Astyanax mexicanus: one gene and its partner. The protein of the gene in region 2 interacts with the protein of the main gene of each other region in a pairwise test. Links are inferred from orthologs where the notes say so. Each region holds a gene or a part of one and is shown on either strand. Other genes may lie near its edges.

Region 1 (3,757 bases), on a different chromosome or scaffold from region 2:
ACCACACAAACACTAGTTGACTGTCGTGCACAGCTAATTGCTATGCCATCTGTGTAGTGTTACTCTTGCTTTTCAAGGGGGACGTTTGTAATCATTCACACTAACCTTCGCAACCGACAAGAGCCCAGAGTGCTGAGTAAGCACAGTCAATAAAATTAAACAGTCCAAGACCCCTTGGAAAAAGGGAGTTTGATATCATGTTTTTTTTAGAGACACTACGGCTTTTGATACACAGTATTAAAACAGCATCATGTAGCTTAACTGTGCAGATTTGAGTAAATGGTCTGCATACAGCACTATCTTTAGAGAGAAGGACATCAGACTTTAAACACATTAATTTTCATATGTTCAAGAAGACAACAAAGCAACTGACAGTTTTACAGTGTACTTGTCAATGTCTGCACATTTGTCTGGGATCAAGTTGTTTACCCTTTGAGAGCTAGGGGGGTGGGGAGTGGGGGTTGCACTGAATAGCTGACTTCCTATTTTCCACTGAAAGCTGTCTTAACCTAAAATGACACCAGCGAATGCAGTTCTACCTCAATTTTTAAAGTAAAAACTAAAATTAAAGATTTGTGTGTAATTTTCACTTGAAAATTCTCATTTCACATATCAGCTATTAAATATCTAATAAGGTTACAATTATAGAATAAAATTATTCTAATTACTCACTTCACATATCCTATTTACATGGTATTTGATATTTGGAATTACAGTTTGCAATAAGTAGAAACATATAGATTTCTGAAATCTAGAGTTTCTATTTGCAAAAGTTACATTATACAAAATGTAAACAGTTTTACTTGTAAAAAATGAGTTTTTAAATCTATGTTTATGCAAACAGTACAAATTGTAAACCCTTGTATATCTAACCTATCTAGTTATGCTCTCTGAATGTGTTTCTTTTTATCTTGTTTACCTCTGAAAAAAAAAAAAATAAGAGACCACTTTTGATTTTACCAAATTGAAACACTCTGGAATATAATCAAGAGGAAGATGGATGATCACAAGTCATCAAATCAAGATGAACTGCTTGATTTTTTGCACCAGAAGTGGCATAAAGTTCCAAAAGCAGTGTGTAAAACTGGTGGAGGAGGACATGCCAAGATGCATGAAAACTGTGATTAAAAGCCCAGGGTTATTCCACCAAATATTGATTTCTGAACTCTTAAATCTTTATGAATATGAATATATGCTGCATCCTTTTCACAAATAATTAAAAAGATGCAGCATATGTTCATATTCATAAAGTTTTAACAGTTCAGAAATCAACATTTCTCTTTTACTGCAAAAAAATGCTCTAAATGGCTATTTTTTGGAATTTGGGAGAAATGTTGTTTGTAGTTTATAGAAAAAAAAACAACAATGTTCATTTTACTCAAACATATACCTATAAATAGCAAAATCAGTAAAACTGATTCAGAAACTGAAGTCGAATCTGTAGTTGACGGGACACTTGCTCGCCTCAGCTCTGAAAAGGTAGTCGGGTTAGCTTTTAAACTTCAACCCCGGAGGCTAATAGCGCTATAAGTTACCTTCCATTGTGCTCCACGGGTGAGCTCTGTGCCTGTGGTAGTTTAACAGGACTCGAGGGCTGCTGGGTCCGTGTCCTCTCCTGGTTTCCTCCATCGTGCGGAGCTGCAGTTTCCTGTAGCGGGTCTCCTGTTTTTGTGGGCCTGTTTTGGGCTGCTCTGTCCCCGTTCTCCACAGACACCACGGCGGCCTTACTCGCACCGTTTCCCGGTTCAGACGGTGACGAGTGGAGACCTGTCGGCTTGTTTTCCAGCGTTTCCAGTGTCCTGGGTGTGTCTGACTCGGAGCTGCTTTTGTTCATAATCACAGCGGCTGTAAGGTTACCACTTTGTTTTAAGCCTCCTTCACCCTCAGTCACATCTGTGGCCATAGGGGGTGGACAGTCAGGTTAAAAACGCAATTAACTAACTAGCTAACCTACTGAACAACAATAATAAAAACCTCCTTCACCAAGCAGTGCGTGCCCAGTGTGACAACTGAAGCCCAGCAACAGACACAGACAGCTAGGGGAGCTAGAGTAGCTAACGCTAGCTAACTAGCTGGCTAGCCAAAGTCAGCGAAACAACTCGCACCGTACAAATAATCAAATCTTCACCCACCTAACCTAACGCTACTCCTGCCAAACATCGAGCCAGCCGACTTTAACTGTGTAAACTTAGTTAGCTAAATACAAACTACTTGGCAACCAATTTGTGTAACAATAGCATAGTTCAAGAACTAAACAACTCTCCAAACAAACTTCCCGAAAAGTGTCTCTTCCAGTCCGCTCCGTGGCCCCGCAGTGCGCAGGCTCCCTTCTTCCCCTCCTTCCTTCCTTCCTATCGCCGATCCACAGCACAGCCCAGCCCGGCGCTGACTGACAGCAACAGAGCAGCGATACACACTCAAAACCCCGCTCACCGAGACCCACAACACCTCATTTCACACACCCGCTCTCCGTCTACACAGTTATGGTACCCAGTTAACCGCTGTCTGACTCTGAAACCTCTCTAAAAGTCTGTCAGGAACATCATTTCCTGACCGTCCACCGCAGCAGCTCCGCAGTTTCAGGGACTCTCCGGTATAACGCGAACTCAACTATACAGCGCAGTGTTTTCACCAACTCCCCACTGCCGCACTTCAAAACAAAAGTCCTACAGCACATGGAAAGTATGATACTTTTTAAATTTGATTTGTTACTTGCTGCTAATAAGTCACTCTTAATATATTTAAGTATTGATATTTAAGTAATAAAACACTCATTTGCAGGGATCTGGTATGGATTCAAATAATTATTGAAAAGCGATATGTTTCTTTACCCACTTAAAACCATTCAAATATTTTATGCAGGTGATTCAAATAACTGTTACTATTACTATTATTAGACAAATTTTGAATCTAGCATATATTTAAAAATATGGAAAAGCACCCACATACTATTTTGCGTTATTTTGACGATTCGAATTTTCTTAAAATCGTTTTAATCAGTTCTTAGAAAGATTCGAATCTTCAGAAAAGTAGTTTAAATCAGTTTTCAAAAATGATTCGAATCTTTAGAAAAGTAGTCCGAATCAGTTTTCAAAAAGATTTGAATCTGTAGAAAAACAGTTTGAATCAGATTTTCAAAAAGATTAGAATCTTTAGAAAAGTAGTCCGAATCAGTTTTCAAAAAGATTTGAATCTGTAGAAAAACAGTTTGAATCAGTTTTCAAAAAGATTAGAATCTGTTGAAAAGTACTTTCGAATCTTCAGAAAATCTTTAGAAATCTTTAGAAAAGACTACTTTTCTAAAGATTCGAATCATTTTTGAAAACTGATTCGAATCTTTAGAAAAACAGTTTGAATCAGTTTTCAAAAAGATTTGAATCAGTTTTTTTTTTCAAAAAGTTTCGAATTTGTAGAAAAGTACTTTGAATCAGTTTTCAAAAAGATTCGAATCTGTAGAAAACTAGTTTGAATCAGTTTTCAAAAAGATTCAAATTTAGGTTGAATCTTTTTGGAATCTTTTAACATTTTTTACTGTTAACTCCTCATAAGGGGTTGGATTCAAATAAGTTTAATTTCTGTATGTGTAAATTCAGTGTATATATCACTACTCCACTCCTTACACATTTTAACAGGTGAGTGTAGCCTTCAAAATAAACAAACCAACATATATTTGGTATTTATATATTTACTGTTTAAGGTGGAAGGAACACTTCTAATAAGCCAGTGTTGGTGTAATTGTGTGAAAATAGAGGCAGCT
Region 2 (3,757 bases):
TCGATATGTACATAGTCTGTAATTTTGATACCAAGTTACATTCACTGGCCATAGTAGATAAAAACAGGACTTGCTAATGGGTGCAAAAGTCTGCAACAAAAAACCCTACAAAAATGTTTATTCTGCATGTACCATAAATGAAACACTTTGTTCATGTGTCTGGTATATAAATTTTGCACATATTTTGCATTATATGTCTGTACATATTTGTTTTATTCAACAACGAACAGTACCAGTCAAAATTTTGAACACACCTGTCTTTATTTAATTCTAGATAAGATAGATTAATATTAAAGACATTAAAACAATCAAGGGACACATATGGAGTTACATAGTAAACAGTAAAAAAGTGTTAGTCCTCCACATGAATCCCCTAATCTAAACCTGATGAACTGAGATGGTGATTTGAGGTGATTTAATTGGTATGAGCTGGAGCTTCACAGTGTGAAGGAAAAACAGCAACTATTGTTCAGCACCTCCAGAAACTCCTTCCTTCAAGAGGAGAAAACTACTTCAGGAGAGTCTCCCTCATGAAGACACTGAGATCTGTCCTCTGTCCTCAAAGATAAATGTGCTATCTAGAAGAATCTAAAGTATAAAACATGTTCTGGTTTGTTTAACACTTTTTGTGTTCCTATAGAGCTTTTTTCCAAACTTTTGACTGGTGCTGTATCTCAGTATATCTCTGCAGGGTTCAGGCATTAAAGCACACTTGCTCTGTTATCTGCTGTTAAGTGCTGAGAGAGCAGAGGGCATGTGTGAGTTACTGGGTGTAGCACAAGCTTGTCAAAATCTCTTTTCTCTCCTTGTCATGGGCACCATAATGACATGCACATTTAGTTCATGAATAAAATTTGAGTGTAGGCTATTTTCCAGCTCTTAATCCCTTAATCCTTCTTTATAGTCTCTGCTGTGACCTTCTGTCACACTTGAGACACAAGTACAAATTCACGTATGGTTACTACAGCACCACGCCTCAGACCTAAAGTTACTAAAAGTATGGGATAAAATGAGATTAGAACAGTAAGATTCTTAATTATTCTTAAAAATGCAGCACTGGTTCAGGGAAAACTCTTTTAGATCCATAATGAACCATGTTTTTGGTCTGTGAGGAGATGTGTTAGTACCTCGTAAGCCCTTAGACAAAGGCGTGGGCAATTAATTTTCCCAAGGAGCCACATAATAAACTGGATCTGTTTTGGAGATCCAGACCGACTGATCTCAGTTCAGCTTAAAGTTAATTACCCCTTTAAAATGGAGTAATTATATGGTTTTGATAAGCTAAAACTGGTAGAGACATATCATAATTTAATCCACATCCTCATAAACAATTATGTTTCCAATTAAGAACAGCATTAAATTCACTTCATACAAAGCACTATTGCTGTTTGGTTTATGGTGTAATTAGCTCATTTACTGTTTTTCAGTATTTTTTGCTTGTTCAGTAAGAGAAATCTAGTCTTTTTTGGGTTTTAACAAGCGCAGTGAAGTTCAGTGCAGTTTCTAAGGTGGATATGTGAAGGGCCGTTATTGAAAGCTATAGGAATCAGATGTGGCTTGTGGGCCGTACCATACTCAGGTCTGCCTAAGACCCAGTATTTAACCCCACACTCCACTCCTCCTCACCTTCTGAAAACTACTCTACTCTCACAATTAAAGTAACTTTATTGGCCCCAAAATAGAACCATGTGGGACTCCACATGATATGCTTAGCCCAACAGTTGCCAAATAATCTATACTTAATCTATAAACCTAGGGTTTAAGGGATTAAAGGTCTCAAATTACATAGCAAAATATTTCCAGAGCTAACCCAACACTTGGTGGAGTTTGCTTTTGTACAAGTAAGATCAGCTAGTTAGCTAACAAGTGACTAAACTTCCTTGTAATGTGAATTAAACTAACACTGCAGGACAGATATATTGTCTTTTTAGTTCCTTGTTTGATGCAGTTATTATTAACACTAAAGTTAATTTAGCTAGCTGTCATCATTAATAGCCAAATGATCCAAAATAGTTTTTTAGTCCTAAAAGCTAACTCTTCAGAAGAGTTCATTTGTAACACTACACACCAGTGTTAAGATCATTTATCACTGTTAGTTTTAGTGTTAACTCCTTACGTAGAGTCAGAATTAACTCTATGAGACTTTTTTAAAAGTGTTAAAATATAAACCATATAAATAAGGTCTGTGAATCACAGGGAATCTTACGATATGATATTATCACAATATGTTGCCCATGATAACGATGATATCACATGATAATTCTCTATGAATACCAGTATTTATTGTTTTATTGGTGTCAGTTTCACAGAATTTAACAAATAATATTTTGCACCGCAGGTTTATTAACCCTATTTATTAATTATAGCGCCACCACGTGGAGTGATGAAGCAGAAACTTAAGTAAGTTGAATTGGGAGCGAGTGTTAGGGAGTTAAGAGCGACTATGTTTCAATAAAAAATATTGGTATTTGATGCCACGTATCGATACGATAAAAAACCCTAAAATAGACACTTTTAAAGTGTTAAAATCCAAAAACTCTAATAGAGTTATTTTGAGTTTGCTTATTATGCATCACATTTTAAGCACTCAAGCAAAGTAGAATAAACTGACCTACCTTCACATAAAGATCAGAAACAGTCGTCATGCTTTCTTCTTTGAACCGAAAACTGTACCCACAAACTGTATCAGTATCCACAAAACAAGTGATCTGAATCACAGGCCTGAGAAGCTGCTGACCATATTTCCTTCTTCTCCACTCATTTCTAGACGTCTAACATGAAGCACAAAGCTGAGGGTTGTGAACCTCAGACAGGGAGTGAAGTAACTACTGCAGACTCACACCAGGACTTGAGTAACAGCCTGAGCAACAAAACATGGGAGAAGACAGAAATGTCATCAGGCAAATCGCTCCACTCCCAAACCACTCCTTCAGCAGGTATGAGGTGTTGAGCTAGCTCTTTAACGTGCTTTACCTGTCATGGAATAGACAAACCTGCACAAACAAAGGCTGTGTTACACCTGTCGTAATCATTTAAGCAAGAAGGCTATTGGATAGAAGCTCTCTGCCCATTCATTATACCAACCTCTGCAATCTGCAATCCAGTGGCTCATTATTCAGGGTATTTACTGTACATGGGTAATTAGAACACATTACAGACACATTCAAGACGAACACACTGTCTCAGTATGACTTCATGAGGATGAGTTTGTATTGTGGGGGCGTATCTGTCTCACAGCAACAGATATCTTGACTTAAATGTCTTTACAAACAACTTATGGTAAGCTACAGTGCCATACTGTAGGCCTACTGATTCACTGATTCAGCAAGAATTACCTTTTCTTTATGTAGGACATCCCTAGTGAGAAAAAAAGTATTATTAATCAATATATTTAAAGAGAGCTTTTTTTTGCACTTATTATACGTTAATTGTATAAAAAATAGTACAAAACTCTTGCTTAAATTGTGCTAAGTGTGCTTAACTGTAATAAAATGAAACAATTTTAAATATATTTAAGTAACATTTAATCATCTAAACTAATTCATGTATGTAACCCCATATTTTAAATATGCTTACAGTAAAATTATATATTATATTATATATACATTTAATAATGAGTATTACAACTGTATCACTATTATTATACACCAGGTATATTAGAAATGTAATAAGAATTGAAGTTAAATATATGTGATCCATTTACATTACAAATATATATACTTCTTGTTGCTGTCTTTTTAGTATAAAAAGTATAAAA

The links.
Region 1: the proteins of myo5b (region 2) and bnip2 interact in binary tests that used the Homo sapiens proteins (3 or more experiments, as listed by UniProt). The two-hybrid records come from large-scale screens. The link is inferred for Astyanax mexicanus from reciprocal best matches to the Homo sapiens genes MYO5B and BNIP2.

Annotation. Positions count from the first base shown.
Region 1 is NC_064409.1:57,091,303-57,095,059, reverse strand, and holds the start of bnip2 (BCL2/adenovirus E1B 19 kDa protein-interacting protein 2), read right to left. Parts: upstream 2,617-3,757; 5' UTR 1,904-2,616; coding exon 1,536-1,903; intron 1-1,535.
Region 2 is NC_064424.1:6,583,484-6,587,240, forward strand, and holds the start of myo5b (unconventional myosin-Vb), read right to left. Parts: upstream 2,851-3,757; 5' UTR 2,646-2,850; coding exon 2,616-2,645; intron 1-2,615. UniProt on the Homo sapiens protein: May be involved in vesicular trafficking via its association with the CART complex. The CART complex is necessary for efficient transferrin receptor recycling but not for EGFR degradation.